2 linked regions of the Coturnix japonica genome follow. The protein of the gene in region 2 binds, or shares a complex with, the protein of the main gene of each other region. Links are inferred from orthologs where the notes say so. Each region holds a gene or a part of one and is shown on either strand. Other genes may lie near its edges. The genes, in order: EIF3F and EIF3D.

What was found.
Region 1: EIF3D (region 2) and EIF3F share a complex: the UniProt entries of both Homo sapiens proteins name them as parts of the eukaryotic translation initiation factor 3 (eIF-3) complex. The link is inferred for Coturnix japonica from reciprocal best matches to the Homo sapiens genes EIF3D and EIF3F.

What each region holds. Positions count from the first base shown.
Region 1 is NC_029521.1:13,744,508-13,759,085, reverse strand, and holds EIF3F (eukaryotic translation initiation factor 3 subunit F), read left to right. Parts: upstream 1-1,387; 5' UTR 1,388-1,409; coding exon 1,410-1,683; intron 1,684-1,793; coding exon 1,794-1,864; intron 1,865-1,940; coding exon 1,941-2,020; intron 2,021-2,960; coding exon 2,961-3,098; intron 3,099-4,159; coding exon 4,160-4,251; intron 4,252-4,463; coding exon 4,464-4,600; intron 4,601-4,713; coding exon 4,714-4,827; intron 4,828-5,450; coding exon 5,451-5,528; 3' UTR 5,529-5,845; downstream 5,846-14,578. Other genes in the region: ANXA7 (annexin A7), read left to right, coding at 13,479-13,532. UniProt on the Homo sapiens protein: Component of the eukaryotic translation initiation factor 3 (eIF-3) complex, which is required for several steps in the initiation of protein synthesis.
Region 2 is NC_029516.1:47,216,169-47,232,886, forward strand, and holds EIF3D (eukaryotic translation initiation factor 3 subunit D), read left to right. Parts: upstream 1-8,725; 5' UTR 8,726-8,843; intron 8,844-9,068; 5' UTR 9,069-9,079; coding exon 9,080-9,202; intron 9,203-10,285; coding exon 10,286-10,331; intron 10,332-10,721; coding exon 10,722-10,858; intron 10,859-10,960; coding exon 10,961-11,046; intron 11,047-11,505; coding exon 11,506-11,578; intron 11,579-11,714; coding exon 11,715-11,830; intron 11,831-12,028; coding exon 12,029-12,161; intron 12,162-12,742; coding exon 12,743-12,890; intron 12,891-13,151; coding exon 13,152-13,282; intron 13,283-13,769; coding exon 13,770-13,855; intron 13,856-14,032; coding exon 14,033-14,162; intron 14,163-14,617; coding exon 14,618-14,760; intron 14,761-15,709; coding exon 15,710-15,990; intron 15,991-16,288; coding exon 16,289-16,302; 3' UTR 16,303-16,401; downstream 16,402-16,718. UniProt on the Homo sapiens protein: mRNA cap-binding component of the eukaryotic translation initiation factor 3 (eIF-3) complex, a complex required for several steps in the initiation of protein synthesis of a specialized repertoire of mRNAs.

The sequences.
Region 1 (14,578 bases), on a different chromosome or scaffold from region 2:
CCACCTGGCGGGGACGTGCGGGGCTGCATCTGCTCGAGCGGCTGGGGGCTGGATTGGGATTTCCATTCTAGCTTTAACATCAGCAGCTCCCCATGTCAAACAGGATCTCTAATAATTAAAGTAGCCCCATAAAACATTGCAAAAAAAGTGAGGAACGGTTTGAATTCCTTCTGCTAATATGAAGACATATCAACCAATGCATTATACTAGAAATTAGGCTGCCAACAATAGCCGTTCATCTACTAGCAACCACAAGTGAACAGGAAGCAGAGGAGTATCCAAAACACTCCATTGAGGCTGAATAAGGAAACTACCACTTAGTTTTAATTTAAAACCCAGAAGCCACTGACCATCACTACTTCATACTAAAGCCCCAGAGAAATCCTAGTAGCAATTGGATGGACCAGTATGATAGAAAAAGCATTACAAAAGAGATGCAATGATAAAAGGACCAACACAGTAGAAAGGTGCTATAAAGTAAGAGAAGATTGCTCACCTGTATCAGAAAATTCTAGGTTTGCAGCATAAAGCTTCACTAAGGAGAGATCTCCAGGAAAAAACCCTTTACTAGCAGCAGTCAGCCCTTAAATAAGGTCTAAGAGAGGTGCAGGCAGGCTGCATCCCCTCCAGGCACACAGCTGAATTGCCTTCACCTGTGCTCCCAGGGCTGACCAGTCCTTTCCCCAGCTGTTCAATCAGTGGTTCAGGCCGTGACTCAACACTTACCATACAGTCCTGAAAAACACAGATAACCAACAGCCAGCCAAAGCATTGGCAATATGACCATGAGAAATGGCAGAGAGGGAGTTCCATGAACACAGTGAGAGCTGGAGACACAGACCTGATGTTCCAAGCAGGAAAAGAGACTTCCATTCTTTGATACCAACAGATTCAGAAAATCAGTCTTGCTATTCTTTTTCCTAATTATGCTTATCTACATGAAATGCATATTTTATTTTACCTGTAATTCAATGCAATATTTTTAATGTACTCTAAGGGGTTTTTCGCCTCTCAACAAGAAATTATGTTTATTCCCATTGCACAAGCAAGATGAGACGATAGCTACTGATATAGAAATTATATATCAGCTGTGAAGATGCAGCCGACATAACAGCACATGCAAAAGTAATGGCTCAGTGACGTGTAAGGGCTGTAAAAAGAAATCACACCAGAGAATCACAGAATTGTAGGGGTTGGAAGGGACCTCTAGAGATCATCGAGTCCAACCCCCTGCCAAAGCAGGCTCCTACACCACGTCACACAGGTAGCACAGCTCTGCCTTTGGCAGACAGGAGCTCAGCGCTGCGCCAGCCCATGAGGGGGCGGATGCTCACGGAAGTGGCGTATGTGACAGGCGTTCCGATCAGCCAATTGTCGTGGCCGAGGTCTCTCCCCTTTCTCTTCGCAAAATGGCGGCTCCTGCTCCCGCTGTGGCTCCGGTCCCTCCCGCTGCCGCCCCGGCTCCCAGCCCCACGGCTGCTCCCACTACACCCACGGCGGCCGCGCCCCCTCCGCCCTCAGCCCCGGCGGCACCGCCGCCCTCCGCCCCGCTGTCCGCCGCGCTCTCGGGTCCTTTCCCCGGCGGCCGCGTGGTGCGGCTGCACCCGGTGGTGCTGGCCTCCATCGTGGACAGCTTCGAGCGGCGCAACGAGGGCGCGGCGCGGGTCATCGGGACCCTGCTGGGTAAGAGCCGCAATGCCGCAGCCCCCACTGATACCGCCCCACTGATACCGCCCCACTGATACCGCCCCACTAAGACCAATACCGCCCCACTAACCGCTGTCGTCCCGCAGGCACCGTGGACAAGCACTCGGTGGAGGTCACCAACTGCTTCTCCGTCCCGCACAACGAGTCCGAGGATGAGGTACGGTGTGGGGGCTATGGGGGATGTGCCATCGGGGCTCCTGCACCCGCTGACTCGGCTCTGTCCCCTTCCCCAGGTGGCTGTTGATATGGAGTTTGCCAAAAACATGTACGAGCTGCACAAAAAGGTGTCTCCCAGTGAGATCATCCTGGGCTGGTGAGTTCTATGGCCACAGGGAAGTGCGGGCAGTTGTGCAGGTCCCTCAGATACCTCAGATCTGTCATTGCTGTCAGAGGCTGGAAAGCAGAAGCAGCAGTGAAGTCGTGCCATCACTCAGGATAGGAAAGGATGCTGTCGCAGACTTAGAGCGTTTTTGGTTAGTCTAGAAGAGCTGTCACAGACAGGAGGGTTGGGAATGCTCATGGATCTATTAGAATGCAGTGATACAGTCTGTAAGGTAACTAGCTGGAGGGAGAACACAAAAGTACCAAAGGGCTGGTGGGAAACGGTGATGTTAGCCTGAACACAAGGGTGTTCTCTGAGTAAAGGTGGAAATACCTGTGATGGGGTGTTACAGGAAAAGAACTCGTTTGTGCACGGATAACTGGCCTCGTTTGTCTATTGACATCCTCTCTGGCCCCTTTCTATGGAACAAAATCCTACAAGCGCAGAACTCTTGGCTTCCTCAACAACCCATCATGGCACAGCAAGGTGCAGTTCTCATGGCAGTCGCTTTCCTGTGCATGCAAGAAGTTAATTGCGGAGCAATTGAAGGAGCGAGATGAACAAGCCCTGCCTCCTGCACAGGGGTGTTTAATTTGTTTAAGATTTACTTTGCTGGTCCAAATTTGCTTGGCATGCTTTGATTTATAAGGAAATAAAGATTTGGCCCAGAGCATAGTGACAAAAAACTGACTCTTTTTGATGGTAATACAACACTGACCCTGTGCATGTTTTGGGCATGTGTGCACTCAGCCTATAATTCTAGGAGAGCCATAAAACTACACATGACCTAGTTATAATACTAGTCTTTACTATGTGTCTGCAACTCAGTGCTTGGACATCAGGGTTTTAGAATACAGACCTGTTAAATACCAACAAATACTGGGCATTTGAACATTAGAAGAGTGGTCTTTCAACATTTGCTTTTTCCAAGGTACGCAACAGGTCACGACATCACAGAACATTCTGTCCTGATCCACGAGTACTACAGCCGGGAAGCACACAATCCAATCCACCTCACTGTGGACACAAGTCTCCAGAACTCACGCATGAGCATTAAAGCCTATGTCAGGTACATGGGGACAGGAACTGTCTGAATTACTAACAGATATTGTATCAGGATGGCACCTACAGCTTGATAGTGTTGCTTAGAGCCCTATCCAGCCTCGAATGCCTACGGGAATGGGGCATCCACCACATGTCTGGGCAACCTGTGCCAGTGCCTCACCACCCCTATTTTAAAAATGTTCTCTTTTTGTCCAATGTAAATCTCCCCTCTTTTAGTTTGAAACCATTTCCCCTTGTCCTATCACAACAGACTCTGCTGAAGAGTCTGCCCCCCTTCCTTCATATAGCTTCCCCTTTAGATATTGAAAGGACACACTCAGGTCACCTCACACCATTCTCCAGGCTACACAGCCCCAGCTCTCAGCCTGTCCACGTAGCAGAGTTGTTTCATCCCTGGGATCCTATTTGTGGCCCTCCTCTGGATGCACTCTAATAGGTCCATGTTTCTCCTGTGCTGAGGACTCTGCATCTGGATGCAGTACTCCAGGTGAGGCCTCACCAGAGCAGAGGGGCAAGATCACATCCCACTCCCCGCTGGCCACGTTTCAGGATACAGTTGGCTCTCTGGGCTGCAAAGCATGTTGCTGGCTTGTGTCCAGCTTAACATCCATGAGTTCCCCCAGGTCCTTTTTGGCAGGGCTGTGCTCCATCCTTACATCCCCCAGGTTATACTGATAGCAGGGGTTATCACGACCCAGGTGCACTTGGATTTATCAAACCTCATGAGGTTTACCTGGGCACACTGCTTGAGTCTGCCTAGGTCTCTTCAAATGGCATTTTATCCCTCAGACATGTCAGCTTCACCAAGAAGACAGTACTGAACTCATCATGCGCTTGTACTGATAAATGTCAGACCAGCTAGGAATATTTTTGGATGAAAATTTGCAGTTAATAATATACCTGTATTGATTTCCTGTCCTTGGTTATACATGGTATTAATATTGCTGATTTTACTGACAGTGAGTAACCTATTCGTGTTCACACTGTAGTGCTAATAAAGATCATTGAGATGGAAAATTATTTCCTTTCAGATGTGTCCATGCTGAATTTATGTGTTTTTCCTAGTGCCCCAATGGGAGTCCCTGGTAAAACTATGGGCGTGATGTTCACACCACTGACAGTGAAGTATGTTTATTACGACACAGAGCGGATAGGAGGTGAATGCTTTATTCCTATTTTGGGTCTAACCATTGTCGTGATACTGTTCAAATGCTGTTTGGTTATTAAGCCTGGTAAAATTACCACTCTGGGGGGGAATTAAACTGTCTCACTGAACCTGATGCTATCCTAGAGAGTATTGAACAAGTTAAAGTTTTAAGCTGCTTTCTGTGTCAGTCGGATTTCTCAGTGATCCTGGTTTTGCTTTCAGTGGATCTCATCATGAAGACCTGCTTTAGCCCTAATCGAGTGATCGGCTTGTCCAGTGACTTACAGCAGGTGGGGTCAGCCTCAGCCAGGATTCAGGACACCCTGGGTATGGTGCTACAGTATGCAGAGGATGTACTGGTAAGGCAGACTTTATATGAGACTGAAGATAAGTTTGACATAAGATTATGCATCTGTTTTTATGTTTTTATTACTGAGTTTTACTCATGCTGAAGTGTGTTTCTTATGCATAGTCTGGCAAAGTGGCTGCCGACAACACCGTTGGGCGTTTCCTGATGGATCTTATTAACCAGGTGCCAAAGATTTCACCAGAGGACTTTGAGACGATGTTGAACAGCAATATTAATGTGAGTTCATTGTCTGATTTCTAAGCGTATTGCCAGCAATTTTGAAAATATCATACAGACACAATTTTGTTTATGAACAAAACTACCTTTTCATACCAACACGGTCATAAAAAATACAGCCCTTTCTTGTCTCTAACTTTATGTTTTAAGAGCTGAAGGTGGAGAAGGGAGCTTAAGGATAACTAGTGACTTTCCCTGCCTTCTCTGCCTGACCTGAAGTTCTGTCTCATGACAGAGCACTTAAGAACCCAAACAAGGTTATATTGTGCTACTTTATTTCTGTAATGGATATTTGGAAAGCTGAGTTTCTGAATCTGTTATTTGCCCGTAGTCTGCAAGACCACAACTAATTTTTAATTTTGCTTCCACCCTTTGACTCTCCTGGTTAATACTGGTGAACTCTAAGTTAAAATTTCACAAGTGCTGCTTCATGTTCCAGGAATACCAACACTTTCTTCCTGTAAGGGAAGCATTCCTCAGGGTAGGACGTTCGGGACTAACAATAGTTCCAGTAGCTGATTGTAAAATGCTTTACAGGAGGCGTTAAAGATTCACATCTCCATACCAGGCTCTCATCTTTGTTAAAATTTCTGATGACTGTTTTTTTTCTTTCTTTCTCTCAGGACCTTCTGATGGTAACCTACTTGGCAAACCTCACACAGTCACAGATCGCTCTCAATGAAAAACTTCTGAGTTTATAAAGAAACTTCTGCCACCCTACACTTGAAAGAGCCTCAAGAGTGAGCAGATACACACTTCCATGGCGATGTTACAAATTCCCTCGGACCTTAACTTAATTACCTAAACGACTTGGTTTACATCTTCATTTCTACTTCCCTGGAAAATCCCTGACATGGTTTAGGAAGTGAATAGGAACTCCTGCAGTTTGGATGAACCCATTATTTTAAAATGGAATAAGTGAATCTTTTGCCTTCTGGGTTTATCAACTTGTGTAACAAAATACAGCTTTAATGTAAGAAATTATTTGAAATAAAGTTCAGTTGTATTGGCAAGAATACCTTCTGTTCAGAAGAAGACTCTTCTCATTTATTGTGTAGGAAGTATTGTGCAGTTTACCAGCCCTTAAAAGTACCGGAACACTGATGATGATACATTGTGACTAAAGGAGGTTATGTCTTCCTGAGCAAAGTGAAGGTATCAGGAAAGCCTGCAGTCCGTAGGCTGACTTGTATGGTAGACAGTACAGCAACAAACAAAACAAATTGGAGCAGAAAAATAAAAGCTCCCCTCAAAAGTGTATGTTTGATTCCATCCGTGCTGGTACTGGGAGAATGGTGTATTGTAAACCTTGCTCTGAGATTAGAATTTTCAATCTTTCGTGGCTACCCTTGTGAAGGACAATGTTGCAACCAAACTGTAGCACAGCGTATCATTTTACTTGGCTGTAAAGCCTAGGCTGTACTATCATTAGGAGGCTGAAGAAAGAGGCATTTCCTTCTCTGGAGTTTGAAAATCTGGACAGGGAATACTTAAGGCTTTCTACTGATCCATTTTATGGGATCTCCTACCTAAAACCTTGAAATTGCTTATGAAGTCTGGTGGGGAAAAGCCTGGGAGTCAAGAAAAACCACCAAGGATTTCAAGCTCTAATATGCTATTATTTATACATCAATGAGATCTTGGACCTACTAGGGGACTTTTTCCTTTTTTGTTTGTTTACGACTCAATACTCCAAACAGCTTTGACAAAGTCTTGCTTTTAAGAGTCTGATTTAATCATCTTTTAAATAGTCCAGATAGTTCTCCAAGTATGCTTCTGTGTACAGCATGTGTTGTATTTAATTATATTAATGCTCTCCTCGCTTAGACGGAGCTGATCCTGAGTTGTCACATGAGCACAAAGTTCTCTCTGAAAACATGTCTGCCCCAATATACATAATATTCAGACCAGAGTTTACAGTTACAAATGGTTCCCTTATTCTCTATGGGTGTTCTGTGTGCTTAGAAAAGTTAGAGGAGTACATAAAATCAGCTCACCTTGTTGCATCAGGCCTTCTCAGACATGAAATCCAAGTCATCTGCAAACTGGGATGGAGTTTCATTCACCACAGCATCTCTCAGCGGTATGATGAAGCAAGGCAACCTTGTGTTCACTTTGTTTCCGATGAGCATGGATGGCAACTTCTGACAACCTGCAGTTTAACGAGCATAATGTCATTATGCTTTGCACTGACAGCTTCCTAGTGTAATAAAACTGCTTGTTTCCCTCTGAGCAAGAGTATAAGACCCACAAGCACATGAGACTACTCTGTGCTGCTTACCAAAACCAATACTTGCAGGATGAACTTTGTTAAATAGAAATACCTTCCTAAAATTGCAAGAGCATGACTTCACTGATTATGGTTTCAACAATAGGCTGTGTACCACAATGAAAACTGGATGTATGTGATTAATCAAGTTCCCTGTGTGCTTTGTTATGTTGCAAGGTTTGCAGACAACATGGAGGTGATTCTTCAGGTGAAGCTTTTGGATAGGTGGTGTGCAGCAGCCAGGTTTCTCATGACTCTGTTAAGTGCTTTGGATTGATGATGCACAGAACAATTCTGGTAATGACGGTGACTGTAGGATTAGATTAAGGTCCAAAGAAAGCCCTTGCAGGCTGCATTGTGCTGGTGCTAATTTTCTGGCTAAGCTAAAACACAAAGTTTGACATTCAAATTCATGTGACTGAACAAAACAATTAATACTATGTGGTGATTCTCTGGGTACCAAAGTAAGTTTGTCTTGCTAGTTTTGGTACGTTTAACAGCCATTGTGCTGTTGCCATCTTCTCTGGATCCCTGTACCTTAGGAGGGGCTTCCTGAACACAGTTCCAGTTCTTTCCTGTCTTGACAAACCATATCTCAAAATCTGTTTTAAATATACCTAAATATATCTCCTTTGTCCTTACTGAAGCTTGTTTCATGTTCTTCCTGTTCTTCATAATAAGCTATATCTTCTCTTCTGCTGCATTATCTATGCTTTGATCACCTAGCTGCCCATTTTTAACTTAATTTCAGTCATTCTTATTGATAAAGACTTGCATCAGTGTGTAGATGAATGGATATAATAGTACACTAATGCTTTCCCATTATAAATTCCTTGTTTGCCTCTTGGTGTCTGTCATTACTGTGACTGAGCACCATCCTAATCACCCCCGTTGTCATTTGAACTCTTAAGTTACTATGGAAATTATCCATTTAAACGTATGACCTGGTATTGTGACAGCTTCTAATTAGAAAATCTAGATGTTATGATGATCTCCCTGTTTCTCCTGGTTTGGATTGCTCTCAGGGCTGGTGACACTTCAGTTTCATCAGCAGGTATCATTAGTTTGTTCCCAACTTTTGTGCCATTCTCAGTCAAGAAAAAACTTGGAACTAACCCAGACCCAGCTGAATTCTACAAACACCCTTTTCAATAAGGCTTTTGCACTTACTTTCAAGTTCTTTAGCCTCAGTCATGCTAATTTCCATCTTCACTGCTCTAATTAAGGGTTCTTGTCATGTCCTCCGTGGATATCCAAGCATCATCCTGATCCACTGTGTCCTGTGATTCACTCTTGACACGAACAACATCTTTGTGTTTGGCGTAAGCCTTGGAAAATGGAAATAAGACTAAAACTTCAGTGTTGTTGAGAATGACAAACAAAATTCGCTGTTTGCAATCAGATACTTCAAAACCTTGCTTATAGAATTACAATTTCATTTGCTGATTATTTCAGAATGCTGGAATGAAGGTCATAAGTCTACATTGTCAGCTGAGTCAATTACGTTTCTTGGCAGAACACTGAAGAGGAAGTAATGTTTTAGTGTATGATTTTGTGAACATATGCCATCTATTAGTAACAAATTTGGGATGGGTTGTTTAGTCTTAAGGATTAAAATGTCAGTGCAGGAAATTGGACATGCTGCTCTCTGAAATACTCTAGCAGAACTACCTGCTGCTCTCCTTGTGCGCTCTGAGTAAGGATGAAGTGTATTTTTAGTGTGGTTCCACCCAGCAGAACTAGAGACTCTGATGGCAGTCCTGAGGCTTGTGTGAAACTCCCATGATTGGACTATGGTGGGTGGAGTCCTACCATGACTCACAGGGCAGTAACTCCCATTTGAGCAGCTAACCAAACACATCTCCTTGTGGTGAACTGTGCTTGCTCTGCTCTCTGTTCTTAAGGAAGGTTTACTCAACAGCTAACTTTGACTATCTGCATTTTAATTACCTCAGTCACAAGGCAGTGTAACAGGGCAAATATTGTTAGTACCTAACAGACTTGGATCACTGCAGTATCCTGCTGGTTTGTTATACTTTGACCCACGGTTCAAAGCTGACCAGGTCTTGCTGCTTACTGAAAACTGTGGGAAGGCTGAGGGTTTTGTTCTTTTTCTATTTGTTTGGGAATACAGATGGTTTCTATCCTAAATAGTTCAAACCCAAACAGTCCACTAAATGGAAGAGGAAGAATTATGTTTTATAAAGGTATTTGAGCCCCGTGGAAACAAGGGTTTTGATATATACCTGTGCTGAAAGAAATGAATTTAACAGAGGTGAAGTATACTAGACATAACGCTGGAAGTGTCTCTTGAAAAACGCCGTGAGGATTAAATTCTTAAGGCTGTTCATGACACGTTCTGGGCAAACAAGGCAGGTATAAGCCCAATTCTGCTGAAGACAGGTCATTCATTAGAATTTTTATACATTTTAGGTGCTTTCCATTTGAAGTGGACAAGCGTGGTAAATTATTACCGACCTATTTTCTGCTGCCTGCACTTACTGCTATTTTAAAGACACAGAGAACAGTGGTTTCACTTGGCAACTGGCATTCAAATGCCACAGCAGGTTACAGCAGAAGATTGCTTGCATTTGAATGGTGTCTGAACTGCTAACACACGCTTTTCATAACAAAGCATGCAGAAGTTTTGAATAATGGCAATTAACTATTGCATAATAGCAGGGATGGATCCTTCAGGAAGTGTATAGGGCTGGTTAGAATCCCTTACAAATACTTTGCTACAGGGTAAAGGAAGAAGTAAGTGCATGTGGTGTCTGTTCCAAATAGAATATGAATAAACGTAACAATAGATTTAAAAATAGAAACAAAGCACCAAATTCACTTCCCATAGCAGTTAGTTGCCATAATTTAGGTTTATTTCTGGGGACAGGAGCTGTAGTAGCCTGGACAGCCCTACCTTCATCTTGGAGACCTACAGGACCTACACCTTGCTCTCAAGTCACACACAGAGTAGAGCAGCTGCCCTGGGTCCACTTGGCCATTGCACTGGTCTGGTGGTCCAGACGACACGGCTCACCGCCCGCCAGCTACCGGCCTCCATCTAAAGCTCCATGTGCTTCTGGAAAATAGGTCTGACCTAAATCCACACGTGTTTGGGTTGAATTTAATTGTACACGTGCCAAAAGGAAACTGCAGGGTGGACTTTCTACTTCAGAGGCCCGGTGCCCTCCGCATGGGATGGTACCCGCGGTGGGGCTGCGGCTCTGGGCACTGCCGTCCCCTAAAGTACCTGCTAGCCGTTCCGAGGCAGCTCCGTGCACACCGCGGCCCTGAGGGACACGGGGCAGGCCGGACGGCCGGGTGAAGGGACGCTACGTTAGCGGGACCGCCGGCCCGGCCGACTCTTGGGCGCGGCGGTGCTGCCCGCGGGGAGCGGGGCCGGGCCGGGCCGGGGCGGACCCGGGGGCGGGGCGGGTTCCTCCCGGCCCCACAGCCTCCATTTTGCGGTGTAGCTGCGGGAGAGAGGCCGGAGGCTCCGCGCTTTTCCCTCAGGTGAGGCACCTGGGGGCGGGCGGGGGAAGGAGATGAGCCCGGAGCAGCGCCCGCATCCCCTGCTCCGGGCCCGGCCGCTCCCCGCGGGAGGGGAGGGCTGCGCTGCGGGACCGCGAAGACCGGGATGGCGGCGCCTCCTGCTGCGGGACGCTGAGGGTGGGTCGGTATCGGTACCGGGCAGAGCCCGTCCTGCTGTCGGATACACGGGATGGAGCGGCATCTGCTCCGCTCCGCGGCCTCAGGCTGAGCTCGGTGCGGGCGGTCCGTCATCAGGTCCCTGCTGCTGTGAGTGCACGGATCTCCTGGAAGATGCGGAGCTGCTTCGGTACACGCCGCTGTCCGCTCGGTGTGTTGTGAAGGGACCCCGGGCCCTGCTGTCGGGGCAGCCCGGGTCGCAGGGACCGAAGCTGAAGTCCTTACCTGACCCCTTCACCACTGTGCGTCCTACCAAGGAAACGCCATCACTCTTCTGAGTTACAAGCAGCAGCAATTGGGGTCTTGCTAGAGCAGGTGATTACACGGCCCTAAACACAGCAGCAGTTACCCACGTCCCAGAAAAGAAACGCACAACGGTGCCAGTAAGGAAAGAGTTAAGCACTGTAACTGTGTGTGTACGTCACAGGTGTGCACGGGTGGGTGATCAGAAATACAGCCTCCTTTGCAAAGGAGGCGTTGGAAACCAGGATATTAAAAAGCTTTTGTGCCAGAATTTGTTTGACAGGAAATGGGGGCTGAAAAAAAAAACTGACTTCATTCTACATTATCTCATCAATAAGTCTAAAAAACTGGTATGTTTTAGTACGGATGAAATATTGTTGGGTCACACTTGTATACAAATTAAACTTGGAACAGCTGATCTGCAGGCACCGGCTGCTCGCTGCCTTACAAAAAGCAGTGTGAGCGCAGGGGATGTGATACCGTGCACACCTGCCCGTTTCACAGGCTTCACGTTACTGGCTGCTTAACAGTGTGACTTTGATTGAATGCCACGGAGCATAAAGCTGGGATCGTTTGGAGGTTTGTAATGGCCAGTTTTGCTGACACTGTATTTTCCCACTGAGTGGAAAGAGTGAAGCTGAAATCCAAAGGAAGCGCTGGCAGTTGTCTTCTTCCTGAAGGGAGCTGCAGTCCATGGTTAAGTAACAGAAGTGGCGGAAGAAATGTGTTGAAAGCCAGAATGAAAAGGCAACACACAGCCCTGTCAGTAGTAAATACTGCACAGCTATCAGCCACTTGCTGCTTCTAAGGGAAACAAATGGCAATTAGCAGTGTTTATGATTCAAGTGTTTGTGGTTATGATTTCCAAGTACACCTCACGCAGTTCTTCTCCCTGTATTATGAAGAAAGCCCCTGAAGTGTTGCTCCTGCTTGATCACTGCTCTCTACAAGGTTGCTTTGGCCTTCATTCAAACAAACCCGCCCTAAATTTTACCATTTCCCCCAGTAAGTCAGAGTGGTTCAACACAGCAGCCAGCTTTCAGATCCATTTGTTTTGCCTGCAGACACCTAGGAATGTGAATGGTCAGTAACTGTATTACCTTTTATTTTTATATCTTGAGTTGTGCAGCAAGGATACTGCCTCATAAACATGCAATGAGTGACTCCCAGTCCCTGCTGCCTTCTGCTTCTAATCCTCCAGCCCTTCTATTAAAAACAAAAGGATTGAAACAGTTATTAGCAGGAAACAGAAATCTGCACAAATGAAGGAACGCAGGGGGAGGATGGTACATTGGGAGCTGAACTCCTGCCTGGATGCTTCCTCATTTTGGTGTTTTGTTTGAGCACGAGGCTGATAGTATTTTGAAATAACAGTAAGAATACATCAGCATAAAGCGTTTGTATGGAGGCTCAGATCGCTCTTCCTGCTCGTGAATTCTGAAACAGCGGCTTCACTTATTTTTAAAGGATTAAAAACAAATGAAACAGATCCCCTCCCTTTCCAGCCAACAGCTCTTGCACAAGAGACAACACGCCCAGGCTGAGAGGAGCTGCTGTGGAGGTGGGTTCTGCGCGGGGCCCCCACCCAGCAGCTCCTCCACCTCTTTCCCTCTTCAGTTATGCAAGACAGGAATGCCTCACGGAGGCATTTTTTGGCAGAGCAGTGGCTGAAAGGCCTGCAGGCTCAGAAAACAGCTGCTTGCAAAACTTTTGCATGACCTTTCCTTCAATTTTTTGTATGTCACATGTGCATGTTTGTATTATGCTAATATAAACCTTCATCTATAGTGTTATCTTCTTATGCTTAAATAAGCTCTTTGGATTAAAGTTTAGATCTTTGCAAATCCTTTTCACGGTGCACTGACCAGCACTGGGCGCAGTTTAATTCTGCAGGATGCACCACGTCATTACCATCAGGAAAAGAAAGACTGAGTCATTTCTTACGCTTTGGAGTCAGACAAGTGCGGGATCTTCATAGGGACTCAAAGGTCAAAGTAAGAGACGTGTGGCTGCTGAACCACCCTGGTCCTCCCACGCTTGAGCTGTCCTGCTGTCATCCTTGTGACAGCATCAGTTCTGGTTTGTGTTATTCAAGAAGTTAGAACTTTTTAGTCTAAACCCCATTATCCCATCTTTGAAATCGTTCTGGTGCAGGCATCTGTTACATAAGAACAGCCAAAAGCAGGTGAAAGTTACAACACATTTCTATCAGGTGGTTCTTCTCTGTGGGACAGATCAGGTACTGTTCTCCTCTCAGGTGCTATTCCTGTGAGTGATGGGGTGCAGGTGAGCACTTTCAGCAACACTGAACGTATTTATCAAGTTGCTCAAGTGATGTCACAGTTACTTAGCCAGCAAGTGGCAGCTACACACTCATGTGTATGTACATTTATGTATATAGTGCCTGACAGGGAATGTTTTTCTTTCCAGAATGTCATACCCAGGTTATCCCCCTTCTGGCTACCCTGCTTTTCCTGGCTACCCTGTAAGTATGGCTTTTACCTGCACTGCATCCCTAGTGTATTTATAATCAATATCCCTTCTTACCGTGCTCTGTGTGCATGTAAACAGCAGCTGTTTTTATCCATATATCCATCTCTGAGTGTGACTTTACATTTGACTCAAATGAATTTCAAGGAGGAAGCATTTTCCCATATACATATACATTTTCCATATACATATCTCTGCAAATGTGGCTTTTTTTTAAGTGCCAGTAGTCATTAATAACTACGAGGGTCTTTAGGTACAGGGTCAGAGGTATTGTCTGAATCAGTGTCTACCAAACCACTTGCATGCCCATATCCTGCCCATTTCCTTCAGGAGTAAAGCTGCCTTGCAATCCAAGCTCAAGAACCCAGCTTTCCTACAACACTGAGTAAATATTTTTCTGAGGATACTGGACACTGTAGCTTGACTTTGACCCCCAGTCCTTCACACACAGTACTTTATCCCACCTTCAGTTCATGACTGAAAGGACTGAAAACTCCAGTGAAACTGGAAGGCTGGAATATATCAGCTGTGGTTGATATTGCAGTGTCTTTTTTCAAAGCTTGGTACAACTTTGTGCACTGATAATAACATCACTGTGGGAAATCTATTTATGTAGTACTTGACTAGACTTAAGATGCAGCTCAGCCTATGTCCCATAAAATAGTGAAAAGCTCAACGTATATGCAGTACATTCTCCAGTTGATTTGCTTCACAGTTTACCCAGACTCCCTCTGAAACACCAAAGTCAGTCAGACTAAGGACATGACCATGTCAGAAGCCAGACTTTCTTAACTTTGGGATTTCTTTTCCCTGCTCAAGGCTCTGCTGAACCCTCATGATTGTCCCTGTTTGCTGCAGGGGAGTTGGACTACATGACATCTAAAGGTCCCTTCTAAATCAAATGATACTAAGATCAATTTTTAGGCCAGAATTTAAAGTCTTCAGTGCATGAATTTAAGACTGTGTAGATGCCAGAGTAGCCACGCTAGGTTTTCTAGCATGGAAATAGCACTAAAGAAATCAATGTGAAATTATTTTCTG
Region 2 (16,718 bases):
TACCCGGGGTTCCTGAGGGCTCCCCCGGCTCTGGGGACCCACCCCCCCCTCCCCTCCCACCACCCAGGGTCAGCAATGACAGCGTGAAAAAGCAGACACGCGATGTCAAAGAGAAAAAAAAAAAGAAAAAAAATATATATATTAAAAAAAGGGGGGAGGGGGGAAAAGGTCGAAAAAAGGTTTCTTAAAAAAACAAAAAGTGGCAATTTTTTTAATAAAACAACAACTATAAATAAATGTAAATATAATAAGTGGATTTACTTGCAAGAGAAAACAGATAGCATTATTTTTTGTTTCGGTTTTATTTTCTCCAGCTTTAAACTGTGAAAAATCAAGGCGGGCAGCAGAAGGAGGGGTGGGGGGGGGGCTGCAGGGGGGGGGGACCAGAGGGGAGAGGGGCTTCCAGTGCTCAACATGCTGCTGCAGGGGGGGGCTGCAGCGGGGTGGGGGGCACGCACTCACTCCCCTGTGAATGCTCACAGGCTCCCTAAATGCATTTGGCCACCCCCCACCCCAACAACAAGCCCCATTCCCCCCACCCAGGGCACCCACCTCTCCTACTGGGGGGGTCCCTTTTTAGCAGCCCCCCATCTCGCCTGGATTCAGCTGAATTCATTGGTGCACCTGCGCAGGAGGAAATGGGGACGGGAAGGGTTGGGGGGGGGTGTCAGGGTCCCTGGGGATGGGACCCACAGGGGCTGCCCCCACAGCTGTGGGGTGTGCAGGATGGGTGTGCCGAGCCCTAGGGCAGCTCAGACCTATTAATTTTTGGTTTTAATATGGTGGGGTTTGGGGTTTGTTTTTTTGGTTGTTTGTTTGTTTGTTTTTTGGTGTTTGGTTTTTTGGGGGTTTTGATTTTTTTTTTAATTTTTTTTTTTGTTTGTTTGGTTTGGTTTTTGGTTTTTTTTTTTTGCTTTGTTTTTTTTCCATTCCCGTCCCTGCTGCTCCAGTTTCAGCTCCCAGTGGGGTTTCTGCTTAAAAACATCCCGACTCTTCCACCCCCATTACCCCCAAATATCTCAACCTCAGCCCCCGGGGTAGGGCGAGTGGAGCAGGTTAGATATCCAGACTCCTGCTCACAATTCTCCCCTATCTCCCCACCCCCAAACTCTAACAAATATTAGCAAAAGAAAGAAAAACAGGGGACAGACATTCAAAATGAGCCCCCACCAGCCCACAGGGACAAGCGATTCACTGCACGCCCAGACTGCAGCATAAAGGAGAGCAGTGTTTGGGGTTAAACCCAAAAGCTCCGTGGAGCTGGAGAGCATTCACAGGGAAAGGTGGGGGGGGCGAGTGCCAGACCCCCTCACAAGGGATGGGGAGGGATGAGGGCTGGCAGAGATGCGTTCTAACAAGGGTATTGCACATGTCCAGCTCAAAGCAGTACAAGAAAAAACCGACCTCCATTTACTTTCTTTCGTGGGTTTTTTTCAGACTGTTATAAAAGAAAAAAAAAAAAAAAAAAGAAAAAAAATAAATAAAAAGAAAAAAATAAAAAAGAGAAAATGACAAAAAAAAATACAACAAAAAAAAAATCCTGGTACATGAAATAAAGATTTTTTTTTTATATATAACTTGGTCCTCGTTCAAGTGGATTTATTTTTTTTGGGGGGTGGAATTAAAGTGAAAAGGGCCCCTGTGGGCTGGAGGAGCACCTGAAAAACAGCAACGGGGGTCAAGCCCTGCCTGCAGATGCCTTCACCCAGGGGGTGGCACTGAGCCCCACATCTTCCACTGGCAAAGGAGGAAGAAGAGGGACGATGAGGCTTTGCTTGACAGTGAGCACAGGTAAACTCAAGCCATGCCATCCTCCAGCCTTCAGAAGTGGCCATGAGGATGGGTGCATTGAAGATTTTGCTTGACTGCTCGCCAAATGCCCAGCTGTGCTCCCCAGGGCAGGACGGGACGGTTGAGCCATGGCTCCCTTTGCTTCCCCCACCTGCTGCCCCATTTCGGCTCCTCCCTGGGGACCCCTCCCTCACAAAATCAGGGCACAGGCAGGGAGGGGGAGGCAGCAAAGCGGGACAAGATGCAGCCAACCCTGCAAGTGGGACGCTGCCAGATGTGGCTCCAGTCCCATGTCCTGCACAGTGTCCGGCCGTGATGGGGGGCACGGCTCAGCCCCTGCCTCTCGGAGGTGTTCCTTCCTCACCAGGGCTAAAGGTGTGCTCCCTTCTTCCCCTCCACGATGTCCCTCTGCCTCCTTGCTTTTGTGGGTCAGGGCAGGAGGGGGAAGGTAACGTCTGGGAATCAGGCGTACCCAATTCTGCTCGGTGCCCCAGACAGGGCCGGCCTCCATGCAGTAATAAGGAACAGCAGCGCTCAGCACTTCTCATGTTCAAAGCACTTCCCTAACATTCTCTAATGAATCTGTCGCATTGAGCAATGCAATGGACTTGCGCGTGAACAGCAGCCCTCCGCTGCCCCATCCCCTGGGCTATGCGGACATTCTGGGTGGGTGCCAGCCCTGTCCTCACCCAGGGTCATGGTGCTCCTCCTGCCCCCGCTCACTTCTCCCAGCACTGGTTCCACTGGCCCCTGGCTATGGAGAATACACCACAGCCTGCTCCTCCACACCACCATGCAGGGAGAGGGCCAGGGGATGTCAGAGACCTCTTGCCTCGTGACTGGGAACAGCCAACATGTCTGGTCCCCCAAAGACAGGACTGAAGAATGTATGAGAGACTCAGCTTTGCTTCTGCTGAGACTCTGTGAGAGCTCTGCATGCGGGAAAACCCAGCTCCATGGCAATTAAATTAACACAGGGCATTTAGCAGTGTCGCTTAAACGGTTTCAACACCTAGGAGCAGTAATTAGTAGTAATGGTTTGGCAAGGGAGGAAATTAAGACCCAGGTACGACGCTTTTGTCTGCAGATAATTTTCAGTGCCAAACGGCTGTAAGGGAGAGGCTAAGTGCCAGGCATGCAGGTTGCTTGCCTTACTGCCATAGCAGGACGCTCCTGAAACCAGAAGGCAAAGCAACAGAAGGAAAGGGGAAGGTGAGGCTGCAGCTTGAGTCCTGTGTTCAGTTCTGGGCCCCTCACTACCAGAAAGACATGGAGGCCCTGGAGCGTGTCCAGAGAAGGGCAGCGGAGCTGTGAGGGGTCTGGAGCACAAGTGTGATGGGGAGCGGCTGAGGGAACTGGGGTTGGTCAGTCTGGAGGAGAGGAGGCTCAGGGGAGACCTGATCGCTCTCTACAACAACCTGAAAGGAGGGTGTGCTGAGGTGGGGGTCAGCCTCTGAGTACTGGTCCTGGGTATTGTCTGATCACAAGGCTGGACTCACAGAGAAGCAGGTACCCCACAGAGCCTTCTTGCTGCAGGGAGGCTTCTGTGGCAGAGGCAGGAGGAGGAGGCCATGGTTTGGGGTGGCAAAGGGAGGATAACTTTCAAGCATGGCCTGGAGACCTCCAGCCAATTCCAGGAGGTTCCCACACAAAGAATATAACTTGAAGGTCCCGCTCTCCTGCAGAGCTCAAGTTCCCAGAAGCAGAGGAATGCTAGAGGAATCATGGAATCATTAAGACTAGTAAAGACCTCTACGATCATCCAATCTAACCATCAGCCCATCCCCACCATGCCCACTGACCACATCCCTCAGTGCCACATCCACATGGTTCCAGAACACCTCCAGGGACAGAGATTCCACCGCCTTCCTGGGCAGCCTGTTTCAATGCTTCACCATTATTTCTGGGTAGAGCAAGGGCCACGCTGCTTCCTATGGGCACAGCTATGAGGCAGGATCCTGGGCTGCAAATCCCAGCCTGGTGCAGACGTGAACCCTTCTGGCAGCACATTGTCACTTGTGCTGGTTTTCCACCAAGAGGAACAATGTGTGGGTGATGCCAAACCCCACTGTCCTCCTTTTACTTTCCCTTTGTCGAAACCTCCAGGTTGACACAGACGCGAAAGATGGGGGTGTAGGGCTGGGTATGAGGACAAGGAGGTCTCGTTGCCCTCTGCAGCCATCGACTCTTGACATTGCGCAAAGTCAGCGATGAGGAAGCCGGCAGCTTCTGCAAAGGGGTCAAATGTACGGTTGTGGGCTGAGACCCAGAAACAAATCTGCAAGGGCAAAGCACTGGGTTATGGAGAACAGGTTTGCACTTCTGCTCCTCCTCCTGCTGTTCCCGATCCCCTCCGGGCTGGAGGAAACGAGGGACTTTGCTCTCTGGGGATCCGTCAATCAGAAGCCGCCACCGCCGTGCAATTTGCCAAAGGCTCTGCTGCCAACAGCGGGGCTGAGCCCATGGCTGAGCAGGCACTGCCATCCCGTGGGATGATCCCAGCACAGCAGCCCGGCCCCAAAACAGCGCTGAGCAGAGCCGGAGGACCTGCAGGTTTGTTCGGCCCAGAGTGACAGAACCTGGACTGGCATCCTGCTGCTGCACGTGGACATCTTTCATTGTTTTCAGGGCTCCTCACTCCTGATTGCTCTCCTTCCTGCAGGAAATCTGCGAGTAGACCCAAGGACATAACCCACTTCGATGTGAGAGTCTGACCTGCTCTAATGGGACAGGCTCCAGCCAGCAGGTGGGGAAGTGCAGTGTTATGAGGTCAGAGCAAACACAGGGCTCTGAGCCCCTCAGCATCACTTGCAGGGCCATCTGTGGACCAAGAGGTGCCAGCTTAGCCCCTTCCCGCCCACTTCTCATCCCCATCTGCAGTGTTTGAAGCTGCTTCGGTTCAAGGGTCCAGCCTCGGGTGTCAGCAGTGACCTTGGGAGGTGTCAGTTCCAGAGGAACACGAAGGGAAGAGAAAGGAACACTTTGGATTGCTGCAGCGGGAGCTCTCTGGAACAGGGTGAGGGATGCACACCCCTGCTGGCTGCCCCGCAGCACCCGCAGCCCGGTGGGGGATGTATGCGACACGGTTTTGCCCAAGGAGACAAAAGCACGAGGCTGACTCCTCCAAAGCCAGCAGAGAGCAGATGGCACCGAAATCTGCTCAAGAGGAGAGAAAGGAACAGCCCCAGGGCTCAGCTCCCTGTGTACCTCCAGACGGACATTTGTCCCCATCCGAGCATCTCCAGCTGACCGAGAGATGGTGGGGATGGCAATACAGGGTTGCTCTGCATCCCTTGCCCCTGTTCGCTTCCATGGGGACTCTTCATCCCAGAAGCTGAAGCCATAGGGAAGAGAGGATGGAGGCGGCCTCTGTACTATGGCTTCATGGTCATTCAGCGGCGTTGCTTTATAGAGGAGAGGAGAAAAGGGCTGAAGCAGATCCAGCTCTGCCTCAGCTCCTGATAATGTCCTACTTAGACCTCTTTGCCTGGCTGTCATAAGCAGCATGCTTTCAGAGAAGGGATCAGCTGGGCAGGGGCATTTGCAGAACACATTTAGCCCCAGAAGATGCTGATTTTTTGCACAGAAATTACTGCAACGTTGCTGATGTTGAAGGAAGCAGCTGTGGGCACTTGCAGGGCCCTTGTAAAGAAAGCCAGCGGTGCTGCACTCTGCTCCCCAACCCCAATACTGCACAGCATCCAAGCATCCGGCTCCCAAATAGAACCCTTCCCAGGGACACAAGCAGGACCACCGTGCAGCAGGGTGTTGCAGCTTGCTGTGTGCAGCTCTGGGCTCCTACCCCAGCCCCTGCACCAGCCCTCCCCGCCTCCAGCAGGCACGGAGCCAGCAGGGACGCTGCCGGCACCAGCTGCTCTCATTGAGCTTTGCAGAATAAACTCATGGAATTAGCCTGTTGGCTGCTGGGATAAAATCCAGCGCTGAATGCAGATCAAAGGAGACGATCTTCCCAACAGCTTTGCTTTGGAAAGGGCAGCGTTCAGCAGCTGAGAATGGAGCATGATGCACGTTGCGTCTTTGATGGTGCATGTGCTCTAAGCCCTGATGCTCAGAGCTAGGGGTGCCTTGGGACAGATCCAACAACACTGGTGACAGAAACGGCCAAAGCCAGGCAAGAGGCAGTGCTAGAACAGAGAATTTTGTGGTGTAGCCTAAATTCCAGCAAGCTCTGCCCAAGCCTTCTCATAGCAGCATGAAAGGAGCAAGCGATGCAGGGCAAGGCTCTGAGCCAGAGCAGAAGCAATACAGTTTCTAAAGGCAAGGAAGCCTGCTCTTGTCAGGTTTCTGTCCACCTTCACAGGTAAGGCTGTCTGACCCAGGAGATATGGGAAGCACTCGGCATGGCTGGAGCAAGTAGACAGAGGAAGCTTCATACTGCAAGCACAATCCCCAACCAGGAATGAACTCAGTATATTCCCTGCTTGGACCTTCCCAGCACACACAGCAAATGTGCCAGGTGTCACCTGCTCCCAGCCCCACTGGGCTGCACAGGCAGCAAACTGAAAACCAGATTCATGGCATAGGGAGTTACTCAATGGCTGTTTCTTTTTTCCAGGAAAAAAAAAAAAAATGTAGCAGCAAAACACCTGGCCTCAGAAAGCAGCAGCAGGAGGCAGATAGAAGCACAATGGCAAGGATGGGATGGGAAAATGAATGCCAAGGAAGAAGGAGGGCTTCCCAGGCTGTGGACACAGAGAGAGCTATGGAAACCATGAGCCTCCAGTGCAACTGAGCAAGCAGGCAGCTGCTGCACACACTGATGGTGAGAAGCCAGGAGCCAGCAGTGAGCTTCACTGCTTCAAATACAAAGGCCAGAAAAAGAGTCTGAGCTGAGAGGTGTGGAAACGCTGGGCTCCTCAGTTTGAGGAAGGTGACAGGGTTGACGACTCTTTTCTTTGGGCTTGCCGAGGAGCTCAGGACGATGGGAACTAAATATATGGTACAGGCAAACCAAGTGTTCGTTGCTGTTAGAAGAAGAAAGAACTGGCTATTTTTGATGTGTTTGTTGTAAGAATCAAGCAAGGAACTACCTGTTTAGTGTAAACATTAGTCTTCCAGCACTAGGCTGCCTCTTGGAGTAAAAAGATGGCTGTGCAAGAAGGAAAGAAAACTGTCCCAGCTGCATACTGCACTTGCTCAGCAGGACAAGCCTGCAGTGCTGCCTGGAGCTCTCGGAGAAGCCCTGAGCTGCTGTGGGAGGTGGATGCCTCAGAGGGAGGGTGCCAGGTGATGGCTACAGAGGCTTTGGACTGGAGCAGCCACAATGCTGGAACAAAAGCCCTCTTTTATAGATCCACAAATACCAGCATAGATCCCAGAAATGGAGAAGCAGAAGACAAAAATGCAGAACCAGATGGAAGCAATTTATCCTGGCTGTTTCATAAGCATCTTCCAGGGAAAAGTGATTAGCCTTATTAACTGATTAATTAACTGATTAACTGAAATTATGGATCACAGATCAAGTGATTGCAAGCGAGTGTATTTTGAGCAAAGTCAGCACTTTTCTGGGACACTGTGTGTCTCACGTGCTGATAATGATAGCCGACAGCTGGATGGCAAATCATCTGCAGAAACAGTGCTGGAGCTGACACCAGCACAGCCCTGAGTGCAGCCCAGGACAGGAGGTGAGCTGGGCAGGGTCTGGTGCCAAGTAAGCGTGAGCCAAAGCCACCCTGTCCCCTCTTCCAGTAAATCCCACTTAAATGGGGGAACAAATCTCACCTTCCTCAAGGCTGGATTTTTCTTGCAGCTGAAGTTTCTCCTCTTGATAAGAAACCGGTAGGTTATGATGTGCCTAAAAGAGCATTTGTTCTCTGATGGCCATTCCCTGTGCTTGCTTTCCCCTCTGAGACACACTAATACCCAGCTCCATTCCCAGACGAGGCAGCCTGAGGGGCTGGGCCCGAAGTGCCAGCACTCTTCAGCAGGCAGCAGCAGCGCTACACTTGCCTTTCAGCACCTCACACAGGACTGTAAGGGAACAGGCAAGCAGGGGGAATGCAGAGTCTAGGTTTATCAGTCTAGTTGTTTTCTCTTTCTTCATTCCGTTTGCTCTTTGGGACTTCCTTTTACGTTTCCTAAGCATGACTTGAACGTGGCTATGCTCAGGTTGAGTCTGTGATATCCAGGGCTGTTCCAGCACTGACGTTTGTCACCACAAAGGCTGTTTGCCTGTGAGAGTTACAAATGGTATTTTATAAACCGTGTTTCTGTAAGTGGATTTCTCTTTTTGCTAGCGGGGAAAACTGCTTTAATAATCCGACTTCTGATTAATGGCGCAGCCTCCTGGCAAAGCAGACTGCTTCGGTTATTTCTCGAGGAGGGTTTAAACGCAGTAAATAAAGGAGGAAATGCACGGTGCTCTGCCTGCAAAATATTGATCTAGACTCAGATGGTGCAAGATACCCAGGGACGTTCTGCAAACAGGTTGTGGTGAGGTGGGGGTCGGCCTCTGCTCACAGGTAACAGTTATAGGGTGAGAGGGAATGGCCTCAGGGGAGGGTCAGGTTGGATATGAGGAAAGATTGAGATATGAGGAAGGTGCTGCAGTGGCACAGGCTGCCCAGGCAGGTGGTGCAGTCACCGTCCCTGGAGGTGTTCAGAGCCGTGTGGATGTGGCACTGAGGGACGTGGTCATGGGGATGGTGGGGATGGGCTGATGGTTGGACCGGGTGATCCTAGAGGTCTTTTCCAGCCTTAATGATCCTATGTAAGGCACGCGACGAACCCACCCTGCCCCCTCCCTACCCCCCGGGTAAGTAAAAGCCGTGGTGACGTCACACCCCACCACGTACAGCCCGATGCCGGCGGTGACGTCACGGGGCGCATTGCGCCTAACGGGAGATCCGCGCTTTACGGCAGTCGCGCTCCGCCCCCTCGCTCTCTCTCTTTTACGACGGTGGTGCGCGGCGGCGCCGTCGCGCAGTGCTGACGCAATAAGGGCGGGACGGGGCTGCGCGCGGCCTTTCCTCGCCGGCCGTCGCCGCCGCTGTCGTATCCGTCGCCATCGGGGCCGTAACGCGGCCGCTCAGGTGAGGGGACGCCGCGGCCGCCCCGTCACGCTCCGCCGTCCTACCGGGACCGGCCCGCGGGCAGCGCGACCCCCGGCCCCGCCCAGGCGTTACCGCCGGTTCCGGTGGGGCCGGGCCGGCGCCCCCGCCTTCCTGCGCCCGCTCCGGGCTCCCTCGGTGCCCCTTCCCCTCACGGTGGCGCCGACGGGGCGGGTGCTGAAGGAACGTTCCGCTTGTTCCCCGCAGGGCTGTGAGCCATGGCGAAGTTCGTGACCCCCGTGATCCAGGACAACCCCTCGGGTTGGGGCCCGTGCGCCGTGCCCGAGCAGTTCAAGGATATGCCCTACCAGCCCTTCAGCAAGGGGGACCGCCTGGGCAAGGTACTGCGCTGTGTGGCTGCTGGGTGCACCCCTGTGCCTCTGCTGAGCTACCAGAGTGGGGAGCTGGGTTAGACGTTGGGAGGGGTCTCTTTTTTTGCTCGGCAGAGAAAGACCTGGGGGTCTTGGTGTGCGAAAGACTCAACATGAGCCAGCAGTGCGCTCTGGCAGCCCGGAAAGCAAATGGATCCTGGGCTCCATCAGGAGAGGTGGTCAGCAGGATAGGGAGATCGTCCTCTCTACTCTGCTTTGTGAGCCCATCTGGATACTGTGTCCAGGTGTGGAGCCCTCAGTACAAAAAACATGGAATTTTGGAAAGGGTCCAGAGGAGGCCACGAAGATGATCAGGGGCTGGAGCACTCCCCTATGAGGAACAGCTGAGGGAGTTGGTGTTCGCCTAGAGAAGAGAAGGTTGCGGGTGACCTCATTGCAGCCTTTCAGTACTGAAGGAACTACTCCCAGGAGGGAGTAAACTCTTCAAAAGGCTGATAATAGCAGGACTAGGGGAAATGGTTTTAAGTTGAAGGAGGGAAGATTAGGTTGGATTTTAGGGGAATCTTCACTAGGAAAGTGGTTAGGCCCTGGACACGGCTGCCCAGGGAGTTGTGAATGCCCGTCCTTGAGGTGTTCAGACCAGGTTGGACGGGCCCGCAACCTGATCTAGTAAGGTGTATGTTTGGCGCCTGCCAGGCAGGTTGGAACTACATGATCCTTGAGGTCCCTTCCAACCCGGGTCATTCTGTGATTCTTTGTTTAGAGGACGCTGAGGCGCTGGCACAGACTGCCCAGAGAGCTGTGGTGCCCATACACCTGCAGCTTAAAGCCGGTGAATGAGCTGGTGGGGGGCAGGATTTAGATATTCTTTAAGATTCCTTCCAACCTGAGCCATTCTGAGATATGACATTATATGGTTCTCCAGCACCTTGACAGTTGTGAGCATTCTGTGAGGCTTGCTTATGGAGGTGGGAGTTGAGGTGCATACAGCAGTCCCTTATTTTGCCTTTTGAGGCCCTACTGGGGGGGGGGACGACACACACATCATATTAACACTTGCTTTTTTTTTTTACTGTATATTTTTGTCCTTAGGTGGCAGATTGGACAGGAGCCACGTATCAGGATAAGAGATACACAAGTACGTGTTGTCCAATGGCTGTTCCTGCTATTTATTTTGTGCAAAGCTTACTTCAAACGTCATCCCTGCTTTCGTGTTTCCCACTGGCTCTACCGGCTACATACACACCTCAGCAGAGGAGGCTCTTTAATTTCAGAAGCGTGTCTCACCGCTTGGAGAGCTGCGTGGGGCTCTCCCTGCCCTTAGGGTTCCCTTGTGGGTTTGTTCCATGTGCTGACTGGTGCTTCTCTGGGAGGTTCAGAGCAGGGAGGCAATGTGACAGTCTAATGCAGGAGTCCTAGTTGATGCATTAGACTTGAGTAAAGGCTACTGAGGAAAACTGGGGGGGCGGGTGGAGTGTCATATTTTTGCTTCCAAGCTTCATAGCAAAATGATTTATTTTATTTCCAGACAAGTACTCATCACAGTTTGGTGGTGGAAGTCAATATGCGTATTTCCATGAGGAGGATGAGACCAGCTTCCAGTTGGTGGATACAGCCCGGACACAGAAAACTGCATACCAGAGGAATCGCATGCGATTTGCACAGGTAAAGCTTTACTTTCAGAAACAGGCTCAAAAAAAGAGATTGAGCAATACAGAATTACTTTGCCACTAATCTGTCCTTTTATTCTTTGCTGCATTCCCACAGAGGAACCTTCGGAGAGACAAGGACCGCCGGAACATGCTGCAGTTCAGCATGCAGACGCTGCCAAAGAGTGCCAAGCAGAAAGAGAGGTGCGGGCTTCACATACAAGCATTCTGTACTTGGAGTGTGTGAACATACTGTTAACGAGTAATTTAAGTTACTGTAACAGAACCCACCAAAGTTCCTAGCAAAGCATTTCAGGGTATTTTAATGTTTGCTGATGCGCCCAGTAGTTACAAGCATGGATTTCAGGCAGCTATTTAAGAATCTAGGAGATGTTTTGAGTCAAGTTTAGGAGGTAAGTGTGACAACTTAAAGCAGGATGTGCTCTTCCTGGAAACTGTGTTGTGGTCATTAAGGATAAAAACATATAAAGGGTGTTCAGAGTGCAGAACAAAGCTCTTAACACTTCAGTTGTTTGGATAGCCAAATTCTCAGCCTGCAAACGTTGTTCCTCTGGTGATTATTTGGAAGTGTGGGAGTCGTGGCAGGGAGCTTCTTGTGTTGAGAACTTGTTGTAATGGCTTTTCACCTATTTGTCATTGTAGGGATCGTTTGCGCCTCCAAAAGAAGTTTCAGAAGCAGTTTGGAGTGAGGCAGAAATGGGACCAGAAGTCACAGGTAAATTAGCCAGCTTCCTGACCCTGGTGATGGCTTAGTTTGTCTGTATGTGCTGATGTCTGTATGTCCTCGTGCACAAATCCTGATGTGCTATGTGTGTTTTCTCCCTTTACCCTTTTCACCTCTGGCCGCGCAGCAGAAGCCTCGTGATTCCTCTGTGGAAGTTCGCAGTGACTGGGAGGTGAAAGAAGAGATGGATTTCCCTCGACTGATGAAGATGCGCTACCTGGAAGTGTCAGAACCACAGGACATGTAAGTTCCTAAAACAGTTTCCTGAATAGACAGCACAGGATAGCAGGAAAGCAAGGGGTCTCTTGGCTTGGTCCCAGTGTCCCCAGTGAAGTAAGCAAAGCCAGGAGTGGTAGAACACCCAACCATTCCCTTAGTCCTTTGTGGTTTGTCAGTGGAGGTGTTTATGTGACCAAGATGATCTGTCCTTTCTCTCTGTAGAGAGTGCTGTGGAGCTCTAGAATACTATGATAAAGCCTTTGACCGCATTACAACAAGGAATGAGAAGCTGCTGAGGAGCATTAAGCGCATCTTCCATACAGTCACTACTACTGATGACCCAGTTATCCGAAAGGTATGTTCACTGGTTTCCCAAATCCAAGAGCGTGCTTTTCATTGCATGCTGTGCTTTGAGAACTGTCACAGTCAGACCAAAGACAAACAGGAAAAATCTACATCTCTCAGCTTACAAAGGGGAAACTATTACCTTGTTATTTTCCTTGGACCTAAGGTAAGCTGGGACAGGGTAAAACTGGGAGTACTGAGCAATGAAAGGCAAACAAACGAGTACTTGGACAGTGCTGGAAAAGGAACTTCAGTGTTGGAAAGCTGCTTCTAGAGTTTTCTGCTTTTGTAGATGAGGAAGGCTCAGGGACTGCTCCTTATGACTCTGTCAGTAAGGAACCAAGTCCTTTCACAGTAGATTTCCATTTTGTAGTAGATTTCTTTTTGCTTGTCTGAGAGCAAGGGTGAGCCTGGATTACTAGGTAGTACTCCACACTTGGCATAGCTGTCAACGGTGTACCCAGCAGTCTGTCTTTCTCAGTATGGAAGAAGAAATTCACAATCTGGTTTGCTAGCACTTCTGATCTTGGCTGGGAAAGGAAAGGTATGTCTGTAAGTGCTGCTGAAATATGGTGTTTTCTGTATCCGTAGCTGGCCAAGACTCAAGGGAATGTGTTTGCCACAGATGCTATCCTGGCCACACTGATGAGTTGCACTCGCTCTGTGTATTCCTGGGACATCATTGTCCAGAGAGTTGGATCCAAGCTTTTCTTTGACAAGAGGGACAATTCAGACTTTGGTGAGAAAAACTCTTGAATTAAAATTTGTCTCATTTTTCTTTATGCTTCTCTGGTGGTGGTTGTTTGTTGTTGTTTTTTTAATGTATTCTGTGTCTCAGTGCCAAGACCGAGACACCTGGAGCAAACTGATGGCTGCAATATGTTGCTAACTGTGAGAGTACTTTCAATGCTGATCTGCCTCAGCATGTGTGGTAGAGATTCACTGAAGCCGATACAGATTCTCCTCAAGTGTAACAGCATGTGACTGGTTTTGTTCTCAGATCTACTGACAGTGAGTGAAACAGCTAATGAACCACCACAGGAAGAGGGCAACTCCTTTAATTCTCCACGCAACCTTGCCATGGAAGCAACTTACATCAACCATAACTTCTCCCAGCAGTGTCTGAGGATGGTAAGGCCGAGTAGTCCTGGGCAGTAAGGTCTGAATTTTGGAGAGTCTGGAAATGAGACTTTATTCAGACTTGCTTAATGCTGCTGCTCAGCACAAAAGTGTTTAAATTGGTAAAAGTAGTTTGCACTGATGTTACCTCAGCTTGAAACAGGTGGGATTCCTTATGTTGAGCAAAGTGACTCTTATAAAATGATTTTCACCTTTATTTTACAAAGAGGAAATCCCACTCCTGTTGGTAAAGTGGGCAGGCTTCTGATTACATTTATTAAAGCTGGTGTGCTAAGAGGAGTAATGATCACAGGGAAGTGGTTACCATGGAAAGGAGAATTTGCATCTGTTGTCTTAAATCTTTTAGTGTCTTCTCTGTGTAAGGGAAGTCAGCTGTTGTTGCTGTAAGAGAATATTCACCCAAGAGGAGAGCTCTAAGTTTTGTTTTGTTCTTTTGCTTGTTTGTTTTACTAATAAGCCTTTCTGTTTCCTTACACAGGGAAAGGAGAAATACAAGTTTCCCAACCCAAACCCCTTTGTGGAGGATGACATGGATAAGAACGAAGTAGCTTCTGTTGCCTACAGGTATGTTGATGCATCTCTTATTCCAAGCTTTGACAAGGGTGCAGGATATCAGCGTGGTTTGCAGGGTAAAACAATCCAAACCAGTGAACAGATAAAGGGTGAAAGGATTTTGCTGAGTACTTGGAAAGATCTGGCAAAGAACCAGGATCAACAATGACCTGGACTGTGTGTGTGCAGGTACCGAAGGTGGAAGCTGGGAGATGACATAGATCTCATTGTCCGCTGCGAGCATGATGGAGTGATGACAGGGGCTAACGGCGAAGTGTCATTCATCAACATCAAAACTCTGAACGAATGGGATTCCAGGGTGAGGAAGAACAAGATCCCAAAGCTAGCTCTAACTGCTTCACTGCTGCCTGACATGCCAGGTATAGCAGGCAAGATGAGACAAACATCTAGTGGTGTCCCCTGAGTTATTACCTTCTGTCAAAGATGCAGAGCTTTGGTGGACTAGCAGTGCTATTAAGCCTTACCCAGGCATGAGGTAGTTGGTTTGAACCCTGTTCTTGTTCCCAGGTGCTCTGTGCAGTAGCTGATCTTTATCTGTGCTGCCCTCATTAACCGTCCCTAGCAGACTTCCTCTCCTAGCCATTGCTACTGCATTTCTCCCTTTCCAGTGCAGGGGCTCTCTCTGCAAGTACAGGTTTGCATTCCATAGTTACGGTATCATAGTTTAGATAGAAGAAGCTTCCCCATGCAATTGCTGAAGAGATAATTGTTGCTGGCTTGTTAGGTTCACCCTGTTTTTGATTCTCCCGTTAGTATTGCAATGGAGTAGACTGGCGCCAGAAGCTTGACTCACAGAGAGGAGCCGTGATTGCCACAGAGCTGAAAAACAACAGCTACAAATTAGCTCGCTGGACATGTTGTGCACTGCTGGCTGGATCTGAATATCTCAAACTCGGGTAAGACAGGGTTTTAATACCAAGTGTCTTTCAGGTGCATTCTCTGCAATTTAACACAGTCTGTATCATAGTGAACTGTTGGTAGAGTCTGGATGATCATAAAATTGCCTCACGGTTTGAACAGCAGTGGGTAAAGCTTGCAGTAAATGTGCCAGTGGTGACCCAGGCCTTAGCTTTAGCTGCTTACCCTCAACGTCTGATTGATGTGCCCTCCGTTGTGGCTGACCTTGTAAGACCTCATGTGTGTGACAAGCAGGCGGCCTCTGCCATTCCCAGTCTATTTGCTGAAATTGCCACCAAGGGAAATAAATGCAGTGACCATGCTACCTGTCAGGAGTTTGATTGAGGTCCTCAGCGCACCATTACTGAGAATTTGAGTGGAGGAGGGAGGTATCACCACAAACCATTTGGAACTGTCAGTTTAAAACCAATTGAGTCTGTGCTCTGTTATTGATGGCCTGAATGAGCTGCTGTGTGTGCTGCCTTCTGCCAGTCATCCACTTCTACAGAAATCCAGACCAGAGTGCGTTTTCTGTGCTTTCTTTGAACAGCACCAACACAGAGCGTATATCATCTTATCTGTAAGTGGAAATAATAACTGGTGATAATGAAAAGGGCTCAATTCTGGTGCGTCTGCAATTCTATATTGTGTTTTGGGATACGAGATACCTGAAGTGTAGACTCCCAAGTAATCAAGCAATCGCTGAGCTTTCATCTGTGGCACTAGTAACTGCTCTGTGAGGTGTGGGGTAGTGAGAGGATTCCAGCTGTGTTACTGATGGCAATAGCTTGTGGCCAGGAGATCCTCTTAGCTTTCAGTGTTGGAGTTAGGATGGCTCTTCCTTCTCAGAAAGCAAAAGCAAACCAATCATGATGCTGGGTTTTCTGATGGTGCTTCAGTGGCCAAAATTAATCCCCTGCTACTTCTCTCTTCGTTCTTGCCCACCAGGTACGTGTCCCGTTACCACGTGAAGGACTCTGCCCGCCATGTGATTTTGGGTACGCAGCAGTTTAAGCCCAATGAGTTTGCCAGCCAGATCAACCTGAGCATAGAGAACGCCTGGGGCATCTTGCGCTGCGTCATCGACATCTGCATGAAGCTGGATGAGGGGAAGTACCTCATCCTCAAAGACCCCAACAAACAGGTGATCCGAATCTACAGCTTGCCCGATGGCACCTTCAGCTCCGATGAGGACGAGGAGGATGAAGAGGAGGAGGAGGAAGAGGAAGGTTTGTATTACTCAGGGAGTTAGTGCTTCTCAGTCATCTGGATGAGAAGGAGGGATGTAGGGTAAGGATAAGAGCTAATGTGGGGCTGGGGAAGGTGCAGCCCTAAGGATGCTGTAGAGTGTGCGGTGCAGTGACTATAATATGTGACACACAACAGCTGGCAGCAGTGGGGCACAGACTGGTGCTGCTGCTGCCCAGGGTCTGACTGCAATGCAAGGAGGGGCTGTGAGCCTATTATAATTAGGGTGGGATGTGGCTTTTCCTCCTGCCCCAGCAGCAGCTGTGCTTTGTCTTACAGAAGAAGAGAGCTGAGCACCAGGGACTGCGACTGGGCACCTCCCTGCACCGGGATCCGTTGGAAATGGCCGGCAGGGCCGAGAAACCGGAATAATAAAGTGGCTTTTCTCTGCACGGCTGTTCTGCACAGTGTGTGCTGTCGGGGCAGGGAGAACATGGGAGGAGGGCCGGGCTGACCGTGGGTGTGCCTGTTCCTTTAAGGGCCGCCCAGCTCACGTGGTGCTGCGGGGAGGCGGAGTCACGTGATGCGGCGCGAGATGGCGGCGGGCCCGGCGCGCTCCCGCGGTTTCCGTTCCCCGCTGCGTTGGCGCGCGCGCGACGGCGCGTGAGGAGCGGCGCGTGTCGGCCCGCGCTGCAGGTGCCACGCCCCGCACGCCATTGGGTGAGATGGGGCGGGTGGGTGAGCAGCGGCGGGTCCCCATTGGCCGGCT